Saccharomyces cerevisiae S288C: one gene and its partners. The gene in region 1 interacts genetically with each later gene. Each region holds a gene or a part of one and is shown in the gene's direction. Other genes may lie near its edges. The genes, in order: HGH1, EFT1 and EMW1.

Evidence for each region.
Region 2: mutations in HGH1 (region 1) and EFT1 impair growth when combined (synthetic growth defect), as found in Saccharomyces cerevisiae (2 studies listed by BioGRID, with this or other methods).
Region 3: mutations in HGH1 (region 1) and EMW1 impair growth when combined (synthetic growth defect), as found in Saccharomyces cerevisiae (one study listed by BioGRID).

Annotation. Positions count from the first base shown.
Region 1 is NC_001139.9:868,004-872,935, reverse strand, and holds HGH1 (Hgh1p), read left to right. Parts: upstream 1-1,519; coding exon 1,520-2,704; downstream 2,705-4,932. Other genes in the region: protein kinase BUB1, read left to right, coding at 1-892; transcription factor IIF subunit TFG1, read right to left, coding at 2,955-4,932.
Region 2 is NC_001147.6:573,541-580,948, forward strand, and holds EFT1 (elongation factor 2), read left to right. Parts: upstream 1-1,557; coding exon 1,558-4,086; downstream 4,087-7,408. Other genes in the region: retromer subunit VPS17, read left to right, coding at 1-1,290; GTPase-activating protein BAG7, read left to right, coding at 5,024-6,253; isocitrate dehydrogenase (NAD(+)) IDH2, read left to right, coding at 6,710-7,408. UniProt on the Saccharomyces cerevisiae protein: Catalyzes the GTP-dependent ribosomal translocation step during translation elongation.
Region 3 is NC_001146.8:43,626-51,412, reverse strand, and holds EMW1 (tetratricopeptide repeat-containing protein EMW1), read left to right. Parts: upstream 1-3,390; coding exon 3,391-6,105; downstream 6,106-7,787. Other genes in the region: putative SCF ubiquitin ligase complex subunit SKP2, read left to right, coding at 1-2,016; RFA2 (Rfa2p), read right to left, coding at 2,197-3,011, 3,120-3,126; DAL82 (Dal82p), read right to left, coding at 6,199-6,966; ATP11 (Atp11p), read left to right, coding at 7,133-7,787. UniProt on the Saccharomyces cerevisiae protein: Required for the maintenance of the cell wall integrity.

The DNA of each region.
Region 1 (4,932 bases):
TCAAGGACATCTGCGAGCGTTGAAAGTAGAAAAACCTGCAAGTGTATGGGAATATTACATAATGAGCCAAGTGGAGTTTAGGTTGAGGAAGAGCACAATATTAAAGTCAATAATCAACGCTAGTGCTTTACACTTGTTCCTTGATGAGAGCTACCTTGTTTTAAACTACGCCAGTCAAGGTACGGTCTTGGATTTAATTAATTTACAACGGGAAAAGGCAATTGACGGCAACGGAATAATGGATGAATATTTGTGCATGTTTATCACTGTCGAGCTAATGAAAGTACTTGAAAAGATACATGAAGTGGGAATAATACATGGCGATTTGAAACCAGATAACTGCATGATCAGATTAGAAAAACCAGGCGAACCCCTGGGTGCTCATTATATGCGCAATGGAGAGGATGGCTGGGAAAACAAGGGAATCTATTTAATAGATTTCGGTAGATCATTTGATATGACACTGTTACCACCTGGAACGAAATTCAAATCAAATTGGAAGGCTGATCAGCAAGATTGCTGGGAAATGCGTGCGGGCAAGCCATGGAGTTATGAAGCGGATTATTATGGATTAGCAGGCGTCATACATTCGATGCTTTTTGGAAAATTCATAGAAACAATCCAGCTGCAGAATGGACGATGCAAATTGAAGAACCCATTCAAAAGGTATTGGAAAAAAGAAATATGGGGCGTTATATTTGATTTACTGTTAAATAGCGGTCAAGCTTCCAATCAAGCTTTGCCGATGACTGAAAAGATTGTTGAAATAAGGAATTTGATAGAAAGCCATCTGGAACAGCACGCAGAAAATCACTTAAGAAACGTAATTCTAAGCATTGAAGAGGAGTTATCACATTTTCAATATAAGGGGAAACCGTCAAGGAGATTTTAGTGAATAAATATGCCTTCATCTCCCGCATAGGTGACTTTTTGGTGTCCTGCCAGATTCCATAGCAATGACAACACAACTTCAGGTAGAGCCAATTGTAACATTAATATATAAAAGGTAATATAAAACTAGCAGGTTCTCAGGTTGAGTAAATATATTCTTTTTTAATCTTGACATCTGTCACTTATGGAAAAACAAGTACCAAAAAAATGGCGATAATGTTATGATATTATTTTACTGAAGCTCTTCATACATCGAGTATGTAGCAATTGCTCCACTTGTTACCGCGAAAACTAACAAGAATAAAAAATAGATGTCTTGATTCGCAATTCGCAGTATATTTCATCTAATAGCTGCAGAGCCAATTGGGATGTTACTGGTAGTGCTACCTTTCGATGTGTTCTGTTATCACCCCAGACGATAATTATTATTGTAGATTTTTCCCTATTCTTCCTCGAAGGGCTTTTTCAAATTTTTTTTTTTTTCATTTTTTCATATTGAGCTCTCTCATCTCATCCATCAATTTATGACGCACCTACTCTAATAACGACAAGTTTATTCTTCTTAAAACGGTATCAATTTAATTTAAAAATTAAAAATAGCTCAAAAAAATCAACAAAAAATTGAGTGATGACTTCACAATTGAATGAATTAGTGGAATTTCTGCATTCACCACAACCTGCCGTAAGACAGATTGCCATTGATAATCTAGTTGGATTTAGTGCTGGTCCCACTTCAAAAGTTTTCAAAAATGATAGCTACAGACCCATTAAGGATATAATAAAAATGATCATGGATCCAGAACACGGCACCCGTGTTATTATTCAGCAAGGTGTCACTATATTGGTCAATTTATCTGAAGACAAGTTAGTAAGAAATATTATATTGAGCGATGACAAGAAGTTCTTAAAATTTTTGGTTTGGAAAATTGTCGATTTAACCAATCCAAATGCCGATATAATGTGTATCTTATTAAGCAACTTAGCCAAGGATGACGGCATTCTTGCTGTTCTGAATATCAAAAGGAATTCAAGCGGTGAGGAGGTCGATGATGGTTTGAAGTTAGCAGCTTTAAATAAAGAAGTTTTCAAAAGTTTGAGAGCCATGGATTGTTTAATGGATTGCTTTGTTAAGGGTTATGATAAAAAATTAACAAAATATGCCAGTTTCAATTATTTAGCCTTTTTTTTTGCGGATATCTCGAGGTTTAAATTGGGCAGGATGTATTTTATTGAAGAGCAGGAATACGATGGGGTTGTTCCTATTTCAAAATTGCTAGTATTTACCGAAAAATATGATGCAAAGGTAAGAAGAGAAGGTGTCGCTTCCACAATTAAAAATTCCCTATTTGATTCTGAAACTCATGAAAGGTTACTCAAAGATGAAAAAATAAACTTGTTGCCTTACATCCTGCTACCTATTGCTAGTGCTAAAGATTCTGAAATTGATGAGGAAGATATGTTCAATTTACCAGATGAACTTCAATTATTACCAGAGGACAAGGAAAGAGACCCGATTCCTGCAATTATATGCTGTCATTTAGAAAGTATTCTTTTGCTATGTACAACGCATGCTGGAAGAGAATACTTAAGAGACAAGTCCGTTTATCCACTAGTGAGGGAGCTGCATAAAAACGTTGAGAATGAAGATATTGGTGAATTATGTTACAGAATTGTTAATATGTTAATGAGAGGCGAGCCAGGTGCGGGAGCAGTGGAAGAGATGCCATCAAAGAATGCGGAAGAGGAAGAAGAGGAGGAGAGTGAAGAAGAAGAAGATGACGACGAAGAAGATGAAATTGTCGAAGTGGCCTAGGTCACTTTCAAGGACAGTTCACATAGCATAGAATTGTATAATACAGAAATAACAATATATTAGAGTTTAGTAGAATTCTGAGTCTTTTCTCAAAAAAAAGGCAGAAAAAAAGACTAGATAAAAAAGTATACTTACTGCAACTAAAATGACAGTATAATGTAACTACATAAGATTAAATGGAAAGAAAAAGGAAAGAATGAAAAGAACGAAAACTAAATAACCTATTAAGTACATAACATTATAAACTAACCTACTCTTTCTTTAATTCCATGTGGTCATTGCCAACCTTTCGACACAATTTTTTTACAATGGCAAACATTAGCTTTTTATTCTCTGCGCCAGGATATTTTCTTCTGATGAACTTTCCAAACTCTTTGATATTGACTTTGCCATCACCAATAGCCTCGATGATATCTTTTTCTGTTATTGTAGGCGCTGGAGTTTCTTCCCTTTCTGCCACTGTAGAATTCAAGCCTTCCTCTTGTTTGATTGGCGAAGGCACTGTATTCGATGCATTATTACTACTATCTACAGCTTTTGTCGTCTGTGGATTCCATTCTCCCTCTGGGAAGCTTTTCAGTATTTTCTTATCCCCCTTCAAGATAATGACACAGTTTTTAATACTTTTCACCCTCAAAGTTGGCTCTTTATGCACATGCGCATTTGTAGCTTTCTTTTGCTGTTTCTTTGGAGAAGATCTCTTGGATTTGGATAGAGTGTCCGAATCTTCTTCCTTTTTAACGGGCGATTCATTCTCTTTGTTTTCAATATCGGATTCAGATAAGTATGGGTTGATCTCATTTTCATCCGATGAGTATAGTGCTGCAAGTTCTGTCTTTTGTAATGCCTTCTTAATTCTTTCACCATCCTCATCAATCTTCTTTTCCCCAAATAACTCATCTTCTTCGTTTTCGGAAGGAGCTTCTTCATCACGAAGCCCCATCGCATTAGCTTGCAGCATCTCCTTCTTGATTCTTTGTTCTGATTCTTTATTTTCTTGTTCATTACCATCTATAATAGGTGCCTCCTCATCATCGGCAAACTCTTCATCATAATCTAACTCTACTTCTGAATTGTCATCACGATCATCTTCATCCATAGCTTGTTGATCAGCGACGGCTTTAAGCTTTCTTCTTGTTCTGTCATATCTAGTTGTAGTTGTACCTATATTATCCAAATGCTTCATCAACCAACGTGGCACTTCACCACTTTTTTTGTCCATTCTTTTTTCTGCTTCGTCAATGGTCAAAGTAGCATATTTATTTCTTGCGGTAAACTTATAAACCTTATCAGCAGGAATCATGGTAAAACTTCCATCATCTTCTACACTTAACAAGACATAAGAATCTGAGTTACCTGCTTCATAAGAACCCACCCATGTATTGTACCCATCAAAATCTTCCATAACCCATGGATAAAATTCCTCAAATCTCAGCTTTTTGGCGTTCTCATCAAGAACTTTTAATTGACGAGTTTTCCTTCTCAAATTTCCTCGTTTGGCCCTACCGCCTCCATCTGGTGCCACATCTGCTAGTGGATCCATAGTTCCTTCTTCAAATTCCGGTTCGTTAGTCACTTCTTTTCCGTCGTACTTGACCATTCCAACTTTAGTAGGGTCTTCAGCTGGGCCTGCATCCTCTAGTTTTGTCACTAACGGCCTTCCGTTAGCTAGATTCGCTGTAGATGCATTGCCATCCAAACCGTTAGCTGCACTAGTTGAACCATTTGACAGTCCATTACTTTCAACGGCGGATACAGTAGTAGGACTAGCAGGAGGGACAGAAGAGCCAGTTACAGTAGGAATGGAGGAGTTCACACCGTTGGCCGTGTTGTCTTTAGTAACTGAATCAACAGTAGGTGTCTGAGACCCATCTTTAACAGTATTATTGAGCGAGACCGTTCCTGATTTATTCATACCACCCGAGTTAGGAGTACTTCTTTCTTGCTCTGCTTTTTTTTTATACTCAGAAATTTCTTTTTGCCTTTGAACAATTTCTGCTCTTGTTAGCTGAAACTGCAAGTTTCTCGTATCCTTCCTATGCAGTCTTACGGGAAGATGGAAGTCTGTTACAGGGTTTATCTTTTTTTTACTCTGAAACTTCAAAAGATGTGTCCTCATGTTTTCTAAATCCTCCTTTGGAATAGCTCTTAAGGGAAATTCATTATATTCATTAGGATCTTCGTCCTTTACTTTAACATTGCTCCTGCCAGCATCGGCCTCGACACCG
Region 2 (7,408 bases), on another chromosome or scaffold:
GGTAAGAAAGAGAATCCGACTATTATATTTGATTGCTCCACAAATTTGCCAACATTTCGCAAACAACAATACAAGAATGTCAAAAAATCATACGAAGAATTCCACCAATTGTTCAAATATCTGAATGTTGCCATTCAGGAATCTTTTGTTCCTACTCTTCCCTCTGCGTATACTACATTCGGAATTAATAGCGAAGAAGATAGGATGAAAGTAACGCGAAATTTCCAACTTTGGTTTAACAGGCTATCGCAAGACCCCTTAATTATTCGGAATGAAGAAGTGGCCTTTTTCATTGAAAGTGACTTTAATACGTACACACCCATCAACAAGTCCAAATCACTCGCATCTGGGTTGAAAAGAAAAACATTGAAACAATTAGCACCTCCATATGATGAAATCACAGAATTAGCAGAATTCCGGCCATTAGTCAAGTCTATATATGTTGTTTCTCAGAGCTTGCAAGAAAAACTGCTAAGAGTTTCCAGAAATCGCAAGATGATGGTTCAAGAAGAAAATGCCTTCGGCCAGGATTTCGTTAATCTAGATGAGCACAATAAACTTTACAGAAGATACGGTAAAATATTGACTGCTGTGGGTGATATTGATAGCATTATAGCAACCATGGACATGGCGACATTGTACGATGGTTTAGAGTGGATTGTCAGAGATGCTTATGCCGTGAAGGAAGCATTGACCAACAGGCATTTTATCATGCGAAATCTAGTACAGGCACAGCAGAATTCAAAGGCGAAACAGGAACAAGCACGCAGGTTCCGGTCAAGAAGAGATATTAACCCTATGAAAATCGATGAAGCACTACGTCAGTTGAAAGCTGCAGCTAAAAACGAACAAGTTTTGACCCTTAAGCTTCAACGAATCACGTCCAACATGATTATCGAGAGAAAACAGTGGATTAGCTGGTATGAAGAATGGATAAGAAGCTCGATCAAAGAATTTACACTAAGAAAGATAGAGTATGAAAGAAAGAAGCTGACGTTACTAGAACGAGTACGTTCTGATATCAGAAAAGCTGATGAAAACGGAGGTTTGTCACGTCTAGGACGCCATGCTGTCTCAAACAACAACTCCGATACTTCTCAAACCCTTAAAGGGGACAGTTGGACGGGAGAGAGCAACCGCAAAAGTCAAATCCCCATCAACAAGATCGCTCATACCGAATTTGATGATGAACTATTCACTGAAGACGATGGGTACAACTCTCAGGACTCAGACACTACATCACTGAATGCGCGCCATGCTGCTTCACTTTTGGGCATGTCCACTAAATAATACGTATATAAAGTAGAAAATTCATACCTTTGAACAAGGTGATCTTTTTCCTTTAGTTGATATTAATCCCGGGTAAACTTCCGTGTTGCACTTTTAAAATTTTTTTTCAAATCTCACCTAGAAAATTTTTTTTTGCCATGAGCCTTCCTTTAATTAATCTCAATTGCATACTACTGTTGTATTAAACGCTTCACTGGTTTTTTTACTTAACCCCATTTGCCAGAAAGCCAGACCTACGCACCCAAGAATTTTTAATAACAGATAAAAATGGTTGCTTTCACTGTTGACCAAATGCGTTCTTTAATGGACAAAGTTACCAATGTGCGTAACATGTCCGTTATTGCTCACGTCGATCATGGTAAGTCCACTTTGACCGATTCCTTGGTCCAAAGAGCCGGTATTATTTCCGCTGCTAAGGCTGGTGAAGCTCGTTTCACCGATACCAGAAAGGATGAACAAGAAAGAGGTATCACTATCAAGTCTACCGCTATTTCTCTATACTCTGAAATGTCTGACGAAGATGTCAAGGAAATCAAGCAAAAGACCGACGGTAACTCCTTCTTGATCAACTTGATCGACTCTCCAGGTCACGTTGACTTCTCCTCTGAAGTTACTGCCGCTTTACGTGTCACTGACGGTGCTTTGGTTGTCGTCGACACCATTGAAGGTGTCTGTGTCCAAACCGAAACTGTTTTGAGACAAGCTTTGGGTGAAAGAATCAAGCCTGTTGTTGTTATCAACAAGGTCGACAGAGCTTTGTTGGAATTGCAAGTTTCTAAGGAAGATTTATACCAAACCTTTGCCAGAACTGTTGAATCCGTTAACGTCATCGTTTCCACCTACGCCGATGAAGTTTTGGGTGATGTCCAAGTTTACCCAGCCAGAGGTACCGTTGCCTTCGGTTCCGGTTTGCACGGTTGGGCTTTCACTATCCGTCAATTCGCCACCAGATATGCTAAGAAATTCGGTGTCGACAAGGCCAAGATGATGGACAGATTATGGGGTGACTCTTTCTTCAACCCAAAGACCAAGAAGTGGACCAACAAGGACACTGATGCTGAAGGTAAGCCATTGGAAAGAGCTTTCAACATGTTCATCTTGGACCCAATCTTCAGATTATTCACTGCTATCATGAACTTCAAGAAAGACGAAATTCCAGTTTTGCTAGAAAAGTTGGAAATTGTCTTGAAGGGTGACGAAAAGGACTTGGAAGGTAAGGCCTTGTTGAAGGTTGTTATGAGAAAGTTCTTGCCAGCTGCCGATGCCTTATTGGAAATGATTGTCTTGCACTTGCCATCTCCAGTCACTGCTCAAGCCTACAGAGCTGAACAATTATACGAAGGTCCAGCTGACGATGCCAACTGTATTGCTATCAAGAACTGTGATCCAAAGGCTGATTTGATGTTGTACGTCTCCAAGATGGTGCCAACCTCTGATAAGGGTAGATTCTACGCCTTCGGTAGAGTTTTTGCCGGTACTGTTAAGTCCGGTCAAAAGGTCAGAATCCAAGGTCCAAACTACGTTCCAGGTAAGAAGGACGATTTGTTCATCAAGGCCATTCAAAGAGTTGTTTTGATGATGGGTAGATTTGTCGAACCAATCGATGACTGTCCAGCCGGTAACATTATCGGTTTAGTCGGTATCGATCAATTCTTGTTGAAGACTGGTACTTTGACCACCAGTGAAACTGCTCACAACATGAAGGTCATGAAATTCTCTGTCTCTCCAGTTGTGCAAGTCGCTGTCGAAGTCAAGAACGCTAACGACTTACCAAAATTGGTCGAAGGTTTGAAGAGATTGTCCAAGTCTGATCCATGTGTCTTGACCTATATGTCTGAATCCGGTGAACATATCGTTGCTGGTACCGGTGAATTGCATTTGGAAATTTGTTTGCAAGATTTGGAACACGACCACGCTGGTGTTCCATTGAAGATCTCCCCACCAGTTGTCGCTTACAGAGAAACTGTTGAAAGTGAATCTTCTCAAACTGCTTTGTCCAAGTCTCCAAACAAGCATAACAGAATCTACTTGAAGGCTGAACCAATTGACGAAGAAGTCTCTTTGGCTATTGAAAACGGTATCATCAACCCAAGAGATGATTTCAAGGCCAGAGCTAGAATCATGGCTGACGACTACGGTTGGGATGTCACCGATGCCAGAAAGATCTGGTGTTTCGGTCCAGACGGTAACGGTCCAAACTTGGTTATTGACCAAACTAAGGCTGTCCAATACTTGCACGAAATCAAGGATTCCGTTGTTGCTGCTTTCCAATGGGCTACCAAGGAAGGTCCAATTTTCGGTGAAGAAATGAGATCTGTCAGAGTTAACATTTTGGATGTTACTTTACATGCCGATGCTATCCACAGAGGTGGTGGTCAAATCATCCCAACCATGAGAAGAGCTACTTACGCCGGTTTCTTGTTGGCTGATCCAAAGATCCAAGAACCAGTTTTCTTGGTCGAAATTCAATGTCCAGAACAAGCCGTCGGTGGTATCTACTCCGTCTTAAACAAGAAGAGAGGTCAAGTCGTTTCTGAAGAACAAAGACCAGGTACTCCATTGTTTACCGTCAAGGCCTACTTGCCAGTTAACGAATCTTTCGGTTTCACTGGTGAATTGAGACAAGCTACCGGTGGTCAAGCTTTCCCACAAATGGTTTTCGACCATTGGTCCACTTTAGGTTCTGACCCATTGGACCCAACCTCTAAGGCTGGTGAAATTGTTCTTGCTGCTCGTAAGAGACACGGTATGAAGGAAGAAGTTCCAGGCTGGCAAGAATATTACGACAAATTGTAAGAAGTCTAAATGAGAAAAGGTGGTTCTGTAAGAGCAAACCTTACCGCCTTATGATCTTTTTCATTTATTCTCTGCTTTAAAATTTTGTCGTAATAAAAATAGTATGGTAATAGACTTATATATTATTTTCTTACACATTTTTGTCATATAGTTATATTCCGAATGTTTACAATCGAACCCATCATAAAAATGGACCTTTTCGTATTACCGCCCCCTTTGTAGAGGGGGAGGAACGGCAACTTCTTGACTATTACGACGTATCACCACCCCGTTAGATATACTATGGAAAAAACTATTAAAAACCATTATAATTCATTAATGACATCGGTCCTGAGGTAGTATTACGTATAACTTACCTGGCTCTTGGTCATAGCTTTTTATCCGTTTACGAAAAAAGGAGAAGAAGATTGGGCTTCCGCGGCTATTGTTTGGTTTATACCCCGCCGTATGTTGGTGCTTCTATAATTAGAGCGAAATAGGAAATACAAAAAATCCTTGGAGGGGAGGACCAGCCTCATCGGGCTAAAACTCCCTCAAAACCGGAGGGGCAACCAAAGTATATATCTCATTATGGCCGATACTTCTAGAGGCGCACTAACAGAAGCACCTCAGCCCCTGCAGGTGAAAGAAAGAGGTAATTAATTTTCCGGTTACTTACTTTCTCTCGCTATTGGGGAAAGCGTTGGTTCGAGGCGTTGAGGTCGAAGACAATCATTGTTTTCTTCTTATTTAAGTACATCTTTAGAAGAAAATTACACAACTGGAATGAGTAAATCAATACTTGCTTTGTGTTCCCATTGTTAGATACTCTTGTTTTAGCATGTGATAGCAGTATATAATATAACCTGCAAAATAATCGAAACGCGTACACAGGAAAGAGTACATAAATAACCATAGTATATTTCTGGACATATCTTATTACACAACATAAAATAGAATGTTTAACATGAATCTACTTTCTACACCTTCTTCTGAAGAGGGTTCTCCACAGAATAGGTCATCTTCAATGTCTTCTGTTGAGGGCAAGAAGGATAGGGACACCTTTACTAATTTGCAAAACGAATTTGATGGTAAAGTATTTGGCGTCTCACTCGAGGAATCACTGAAAGTTGCTCAAGAGGAAGTAATTATCCAAAAAAGTACAAATGAAATTGGTTCCATACCGGTGGTAATAGCAAAAAGTGGGAAATACCTAAAAGAGAATGCATTAGACACAACAGGAATTTTCCGTATTGCGGGAAGCAATAAACGTGTTAGAGAGCTACAAGCTGTTTTCTCTAAACCGCCCGATTATGGTCGTAAATTTGAAGGATGGTGTGATTTCAATGTTCATGACATTGCAACTTTATTAAAAAGATATTTGAACTCATTAAGTGAGCCTTTGGTTCCCCTAGCATTATACGACATTTTTAGAAATCCAATATTAGAAAACCCAAAAATAAATGAGCACAAAGAACAAATCATTAAGGACTACGAAGATATTTATATGCTCTTACCACAACAAAATCGCCATTTAATACTTTATTTAGCCGCGCTCTTGAATTTATTTGCAAGAAATGAAAAGAAGAATTTAATGTCAGCAAGCAATTTAGCGGCCATCGTACAACCCTCACTTTTGTCTCATCCCAAGGATGAAATGTGCCCGAAAGAGTATGAGGCTTCCAGAACTGTCATCGAATTCCTCATACTACACGCTTCAGATATAATACCGAATACGGAAAAAGCGAATAAGGACACCATGCCGCATGCAGGAACAGTAGCAAAGTTTAACAACATTACCGTTCCTGAAATGGCTATTGACTCCGATGAAGAAGATTTTGTGCACCCTTCAATAGATGACCATATGCTTCCAAGGTCACGTGCACTTTCTGACTCCAACAATTTTACCATACATCATCATCATCATCATCATCATGCACTGTTTCCTAGCCCAATAGATTTTGATAACAATGGGCTTTCTGTACCGAGATCCTTTAAAGGTAGAACATTGAGTGCAGAGTCCCTTTCTCCCAGACTTAGTAAATTACTTGGGAACGTTGGAAACAGCAGCAATACTGGCATCAAAGACCCTACAGAAAGAGTTCCTAGAGGTGAACATAAAACCAAACACAAACAACGACAGTCATGGTTGAGAAGACTCACTAGCCCTTCTAGAACGCAGCCTTAGCTTCCTAAGCACTGTGATCTGCTAGTCGATTCCGAGGTTCGGCGAAGAAATTGTCGTTGCCCCGCCAGGGGCCTTTTGCGATACTCGGCGCTTCTTTCAGCAATCTCGGTCCGCATCTCGGCAAGGGGGGGCATGACACGGGCCGCTCTGGTTGGTCAGTTCCTATTTTCTGTAACTTCCATTGTTTGGTTAAAGAATATATAAGTTATTGAAAAGCTCATAGGTCCCTTATTATAGGCCCTAAGGTTTTAGTTTCTCATCATAGTCATATCAGAAAAACCCTCCTTCTAAAGTTTTCCTCTTTTCTTATTTCTTTTTCATTTATTATTCATATTTATATAAATATATATTCCAAGTGCATGACATTATTGGATACACTTTTTCTGAACCTGAATTACCTTGGTAGATAATAAGATACAGATCGGGAACGAACAACAATTATAATATTTTTTAATAATGTTGAGAAATACTTTTTTTAGAAACACCTCGAGGAGGTTTTTGGCTACTGTAAAGCAACCTTCAATCGGAAGATATACCGGCAAACCTAACCCTTCTACCGGCAAATACACGGTCTCGTTCATTGAAGGTGATGGTATCGGACCTGAAATTTCCAAGTCTGTAAAGAAAATCTTTAGTGCAGCAAACGTCCCCATAGAATGGGAATCTTGTGATGTTAGCCCTATCTTTGTCAACGGATTAACGACCATTCCTGACCCTGCCGTACAATCTATCACAAAAAACCTGGTTGCACTAAAAGGTCCACTAGCTACACCTATTGGTAAAGGTCACAGATCTTTGAATTTGACATTGAGAAAAACATTTGGGTTATTTGCCAACGTTCGTCCCGCAAAGTCTATTGAAGGTTTTAAGACCACTTACGAAAACGTTGATTTAGTTCTTATCAGAGAGAATACCGAAGGTGAATATTCTGGTATCGAACACATAGTTTGCCCTGGCGTTGTTCAATCTATTAAACTGATCACAAGAGATGCCTCTGAGCGAGTCATTAGATACGCTTTTGAATATGCAAGAGCCATCGGCAGACCAAGAGTTATTGTGGTACATAAATCTACTATCCAGAGATTAGCTGATGGTTTATTCGTTAATGTTGCCAAAGAACTATCCAAAGAGTATCCTGACCTTACTTTAGAAACT
Region 3 (7,787 bases), on another chromosome or scaffold:
AATGAGTTCCTTTTCCAAAACGTTATTTTGGACTCAAAACTTTCGTTGTTAAAGTTCAATGCTTTGATACACTCCGAGTTCCACACGTCGAACATTGTCACACACAGCGGTGATTGTAGCACACAATCTAGATCACAAAATGCAAGGTTCCTCGTAAGATCCATCGAATTCAAAAATCCTCAGTCCCAAGACTCGTTGTTAAAATACAGTAAGTTCTATAATAAGAGTGGCCAAGATTCTATTATTGCTGGATCTTATAAACTCGATTCGTATGATAAAGACGTAAAAAAACTGAATAACATCAGACTAAACGATGAGACTCCCATCATAACTTCAGAACGAATCAAACTGCTTGATAAATTGGAAAGCAACTACTTCCATTATACTTATATTGAGCTAATGCTTGATATTATAGACTATCTACCGAACCTGACCAGAGTGATTCTGAGTGATGTGGAACCGAATTTTAAAATTCCTTTATGGTACTCTGTATTCAACGATGGATCTAGAGATTTTTTCAAGAAAATAATCAAGGGCCAGCAATCCATCACAAACGAAGATTTGAGGACTTTCCAACTATCCAAAAAATTTGTCAAAGAATACGAATCCAAGTATTATTCTCTGCCAAGGTTGAAAATACTGGAAATCAAAGCTAATAATAAAAGACAAAGAACCTTTAATCGTCAACGCCATCACCAAAAGCTCGTACTAAGACCGAGTTTATTCTGCTGTTTCGGCATAATTAATGAACTTAAACTAGAAAATGTAACGATAGACACCGAATCGCTAGATACTCCAATGGAATTCTTACCACTATTTCTAAAGAACGAAGATAATGAACTGTACAGTTTACAGTCTCCTATCACTGCACTTACTTTAGATTCATGTGATGTAGTTCCTGGAAATGGAATATTACGTTTGTTTCACTCTTACTTTAAAATGGTCAAACATCTATCCTTACTGAAGATTAACAGTAAATTCGACTTATTGTTATGCAGTTGTTTCCCATCGTTATCCAATCTAACAATTGATTGTAATAGCAAATGTTTCACTAACGAACAGGTAGTCGGCGAATCATATTATTTCCAACAGCGAAGTTTGGATACAGAAGATGATTTTGATGACTGCAATTCCATGACAGAAACATTATTTGAAGCGCCATCAGATTCGAAGATAATTACTCCTCCGCCGACATCTTCAGTTGTATTGTCCTTAAATCTGAACTATATTTCTAGAACTACAGGAAATGATGTTTCAAATAACCCATCACCAGACAATAACAAAAAGCCCGCCATGTTAACTGCGGCACAGCTACAAAATTTTCAACGACAAAGAATCCCTGAATTTCATTCTTTCTACCATTATTACCGCTTACTTTGGGAGAGACTTCCAAGTAAAAATATTTCTATTAACGTAATCAATATCCCCTTTACCAATGTGTATCCTTTATCCCCTCTATCGTTTTGGGAACATCTAGCAAGAACAATTACTAGTGTTGATGAGACAGATGAGGATGTTGGCGACGAGAACGATCAAGAAACATTAATCGGTTACGAAAATAATTCCATAAGAGATAACATACCAAATGCTAATGCAGTTCCAAATTTAAGTACAGTAATGAGCCCTGAATCAGACATTCACCACACTTACTATTGGAACAACTCTGTAAGGCGTTGCCTAAGAGATAGTTTAATCAAATTGAAGAACCGAACCATCGAATATAGAGATTTAGATGTGGAGGAGTTCTTACAAAATGTGACATTGGAAAATTTTTTCAATGATTTCCAAGATCCAGAGAATTTTAAAGATATTCCAAATATTAACCTCTGGTGTTTCCTGAGAAATTTGTCAAAATTCAAAGCTGTCAAAATAAGAATGCTGAGACATTTTTCATTATGTACACCTAGAACCAGATACGACTGGGAACTATTATTGAAGCCCGTACTGCGTGTAAATGTTCCCATTGAAGTCAGAGATAAGGACGGATTCGTTCTTTATTCTTACGGGCAAAAATAAATGACTTTTTGTAGTGGACTTTATATAGCATATTTATGCAACCAACTTAATATTCATGCATCTTACCCCTTCTTGGAACGGGTTCCATTTTCCACTCTATTTCCGGCAAATTTTGGTACTTACCTAGTAGAAATACACAAACGAATACTAAGAAATGCTAAAAAAATAATCTATATATTTTCATAGGGCAAAGAAGTTATTGTCATCAAAAGTTGGGTAGATAAAACCCTGGTCAGTCAAGGTCGTACAGCAGTTTCTGACGGTAGTTTCATCCAAATTCAAGGATTGCGAGATCAATGGAATGGGAACAGCGAATGAATTAGCGTCTTTGCCCTCACATTGCTTCTTACAAAATTCTAGAATTCTTTGTAACGGACTGGAGCCGGAAGATGTATCGTTATCATCCTTGACAAATAATGATTGCCCATTGTTGTTGGATGCACTCTCCAAAGGTTGTTTCATCATTCCACTGGCTATGGAATGACATTTGATGACTTCCAAGTGATGCGTCAACACTTCATTGAATGAATCTATGGGCTTAATCACCGCATACTGTATATTTTTCTTACCACCAAACTCTTTCAAAGCACCAAAAACTTTTACGTAACCGCCAATTTCAAATTGTTGGGCGACTTGCGAACCATAACCTTTACCAGAAGAGTCATCGTTACCGGCAGCCAAGTCATTTGCATCTTCGCTCCATTTTCTCACTTCTATTTGACCAGTTCCATCCTCAATAGTTAAAAAAATATTTGCAGTATGGTCTGTAATGTTTCTCACCACACCTACAAAACAAACGTGATGAAGTTCTTGGTTATGCGAAACGAAGGGGCCGTCCTGAATATCCTGTTTGGACTCTAGAATTTGTTTGATCGTCACAGGTGTCAAGGTGTTAACTCTAGTGTTAGTTTCCGACTCCCCACTACCTGGGCGGGACTCAGAGTTCTCAAAGCCACCGCCCGTTACTGATGAATATTCGTTATATGGTTGATAGGCTGTATTGGAATCCCATCCATTGTTAGTAATTTTAACATTCGCCAATAAAAATAAAAAAAATGATGCAGAAAAGAGCAAATCCTCCAATTCCTAGCACTAATACATACTTGCCATTATGTATATGCTTAAACTAGCCTGTTCTAGATAGTCGCTATCGATTTTGCCACATTACTTCCACCTTAAGTTGATATAATATTGCTTATTATAAAGGAAAGAACGCGTTTCCTAACGCGTTTCGTATATGGCGATAATTATCTAAGAAACTTCGCATCGTGAAAAAAAAGATGAAAATTGAAAATGGAAGCTCATCGAGGCCAAAGGAATTGCTAAAAAGAAGCTATCAGACCAGGCAAAAAGTAAACTAGTGGTTGCAAAATTATGGAGACGTTATTGCATGCAAAATTATTGCTGTCTGCAGAAGTAGAATCTCTGAAAAGTGGTTCTTTCGACCAGACATATGTGAAAAAGGCTGAACATATCATCAGTGGTGAATCATACCAGCTAGTACAGCAATTTGTGGACAAATTTAAGGGAAAAATTAGTATTTCGGGAGAAATATCCACATCTAGTGTTATTGCTGCTCTAAATGACTTTCTTAACGTTGAGGTTTTCAAAATGGGCCAAGAAAATGAGATGCTATTTTTGGCTATTGCCCTCTTACAGACCTTTATTCAAAATAACTACACCGGCCCAGCAGCTAGGTTGAAAGCAATCTCAGGTTTGTTTGGCAAAACTGGAATTGAAATAGGAGCAGTTAATACAGCCCTTTCCCGCTCATTAGCCATTATGGGCCAGCCTGCCTACGAATTTATGGATGATCCATTGTATTTGGTTTTATCACTATTATTACTTGAAAGGATAACCGGCCAAAAAAGCTTATTTGATGTTACCCCGGATCAAGAAATTCCGCTACCTATTATCTCTGCTGAGTCTACTCCTGGATTATTAGCTGTAGCTTATTGGTGGTGGGCAAGAGCTCTTTTGACGCAATTGTCACTGATTCCAGAACCTTCTGGGTTCCAAGCTAGTGTTGCATCTGCAATATATCAGTCTGCTGACCTTGCATATGCGATAACTAAGGAATTACCGGAGAGTATTCACGAAGATTTCAAAAGAGAACTTTGTGCAATGTACTATCTAGAGAATGTCAAATGTTCATTGGCCATCAACACAGAACATTTGTGCCTGCCATCCTTGACCAGAGCGAAAAAGATAACAAATTTTGAATTTGTAATGACGGGTGCACGCGCTACTAGAACTAAATATCAGCAAAAGGCTCATGCCGGTTTGATCATTCTTGCCAAATCCTTCACATTTCAAAATTTTGCTTTGAGAACGACATCTGCTACACCAGAAACATTTGCTTTAGAGTCCGATCTATTATTGGAGAAGCCTCATTTTGAGTCCATTGCTGATGAACCTCTAGACGAGCAAATTTATAGTAAAAGACAAAAGGTAGACCTAAATGAAGGTTATGAAGAAGATAAACTATTGCCATTGGCACTACGTCAAGAAAATATTCCAAAGTTGTTGCTGGATTTGAACCCTAACGATCAACCTACCCTATCTGATTACGACAACATCCAGTTGCTGTTACGTCTTTACACCATAAAGAACACAACTCCGGCCAAGGATCCTCTTGTGGAAGAAGAACTTACTGCTTTGCTTTCTAGAATATTATATCAAAACGGTGACAAAAATTGGTCTATTTTCGCCCGATCATTATGGGAAAGGTCAATTATTGAGACAACAAAGGCTAAAACTATTGAAAGAGGACTTTTACAAATGCAATCCCTCGTAGAAGAATTGGATTTGAAGATTAAGAGTAAATTGGTTCCAAGTTCAAGCGAAATCAATGTTGCTAGCAGGCTGTCATACATCCACCAGCTGCCGTTCATCCCTAGGTGGCAATTGGATGCCACCTTAGCTGAAAAATATATGTCGCTGGGTATTTTGAAGTCCGCTGTGGAAATTTATGAAAGACTTGGTATGGCATGCGAGACTGCATTATGTTATGCCGCTGTTGGAGATGAAAAAAAGGCAGAAGAAATCCTTCTTCAAAGAATAAATGAAAATGATTCGGATGCCAGGGCTTACTCCATTTTGGGTGATATAAAACAGGATCCATCCCTATGGGAAAAAAGTTGGGAGATTGGAAAATACGTCAACGCAAAAAATTCCCTTGCAAAGTATTACTTTAATCCTCCTCCAAAGTCTGGAGCACAACCAAATTACTCTGCTACCTTGAAACATTTAAATGACTCGTTAAGGCAATACCCATTAAGCTTTGAAACGTGGTATTTTTATGGTTGCGTTGGATTACAATGTGGTAAAATGCAGATAGCTGCGGAGGCATTTACCAGATGTGTTTCATTAGACCCTTATCATGCTCTTTCATGGTCAAATTTGAGCGCTGCATATACGAAAATGGATAAATTGAAAGAAGCTTATAGTTGTTTGAAAAGAGCCATTTCATGTGACGCTCAAAAGAACTGGAAAATTTGGGAGAATTACATGCTTGTTGCTGTTAAGTTGAATGAGTGGGAGGATGTCTTAACTGCATGTAAACAATTAGTCAGTATTAGGAGGGACAAATCTGGCGAAGGTTCCATCGACTTACCAATTATTGAAAAACTAGTAGAACTATTAGTGACTAGTGAATATCCAGAGGAGCCGCAGCAATTATCTTATTTTCAAAAGAGCTGTACTGAGTTTATCTGTAACACTTTACCTCAGGTAATTACAACCAGTGCAAGATGTTGGCGACTGGTCGCAAGAGTAGAACTTTGGAGGAAGAGACCATGGGCCGCCCTAGAATGCCACGAGAAGGCTTATAGGGCCATTTCTCACAATCCTGATTTAGAAGTTGAAGAAAAGGTTTGGAATGATACAGTGGATGCTTGTGAAGATTTGGTGGCTGCCTATGAATCACTTGGTGAAATGGAAGGTAAATATGGGCCAGGCAGTCTGGTTTGCAAAGACTGGAAATACAAATGTAGATCTACTATCAAAGCTCTAATGAGTAAAGGCAAAGGCAGATGGGATGACTCTCCTGGTTGGGATAGGCTAGTGGAAGCAAGAAGCCAAATATGAAGAGCACCTTTCATGTATAATCTGTGTATATTACGTAATGTTTGTATAAATAGATACATATGGACATGAATCAAGCATATCTAATAGAAGTTTTTATATTTTATCTCCTTGGCTGGGTGGTCTCATCTGTGAAAGGAGAGCCTCAATTATGTTGAGCTTGTTTAAAACTTTACACTCAAAATCTTCTTGCCTTTTCTTTATCACCTCGAGTTCGTTGTGAAGATAATCTAGACATATTTCCAATTCCATATTAGAGTCCGACCACGATTGCTCAGCAGCCATTTGTGGAGGCAGTACTGTCTCGCTGAACCTATTTGTACCCTTGTTTATCTTAGGGCTTTTGATGACTTTCCCGACGTCGTTATCCTTAGACAGAATCATGGGGATTGTGTGAAGAGTAGGCGGAATTCCAATCGTTATTGAATCCAGGGGCAGCGGTTGTGAGCCTGAATGCTCATCGTCGGAGCTGTGGTTATTCGGATGTTCAGCGGATGATAATTGTTGAAACGGATCAGGCCCCGGATGACTTTTAATGAAAGAAGATGATGATAAGGATGAAGATGATTCATTTCCGAATTTAGTTCTTGGTCTTGGATGTTCTGGTGCTTCGTCCAAGAGTGCTCCCATCAGCTTCAACTGGGAAGGAGAGAATTGGGCTCGATCTGCGCTGAAGAGGTCCTTCAGTCGACGAAATTTGGTTTTTAACGTCCTTGATTGTCTATATCTTGACCCAGTCTGTCTGTTGTACTCATCGAGCACCCTTTGCCAGCTATCTTGTCTGTAGGCATATGGTTTCAGATGAGGTTTGTGCCGTATCAGTAGTCGTAGAAGCAGCTCCACAGGATCCACCGATTCATCCATTATGGTTGGCTCCGCCTAAACCTTTCAAAGTATCGTTAAACCATGTTGTTATCAATGGTTCAACTCACCCGAATGGAAATAACGCTTATTTTGACGCCGTAATCGAAGGATGTGAAGAACTTATCAAGACTTGAAAATAGAGAACAAAAGAGATTTAAGAATAACTATGTGGAGACTAACCAGAAAAATCGGCACTAGAATCCATATTTCTAATCAGCTGTCGCCCATTTTTAACAAGGCAATTGGAACAGTTCCTGTTTTTCGTTTTTATTCTTCCAGCCCAGAGCAGAAGTATAGAAAGAAACTTTTGGAAGAGGCTCAAAAACAAGGTTTTAACAGCATAGAAGAGTTGAAAAATCATTTGAAAGAGACTATAGAGTCTAAGAAGCGGGAATTTAATAAAATCGACCCCCTGAAAGAACTAGAGGATTACCAACAAAAAACTCAAATGGAAAATAACAACTCCAAGCATTTGATGACGAAATCAAGAAGTCCTCTCGATCCAAGTGCTCCTAAAGTTCCCTTCAAAACATTGGACTCTTTTTTGGATGTTGGAAAACTGAAGGACTTATCGAAACAGGAAGTAGAGTTTCTTTGGAGAGCAAGATGGGCACAAAAAGATAATACATTATGCGCTGTGATTCCTGTCTCCGTTTATGATAAGATGATGGCAAATGCCAGGAATAACCCTATATTCGTGTTGCCACTTCCTAGACAAGTTCAATCTGAGGATGCAAAACCGAACGAAGAACAGGGAATGGAACTACACTACATCCAATGGCAGTTTGTCGGACCCCAAACAACACATTGTATGATGACTT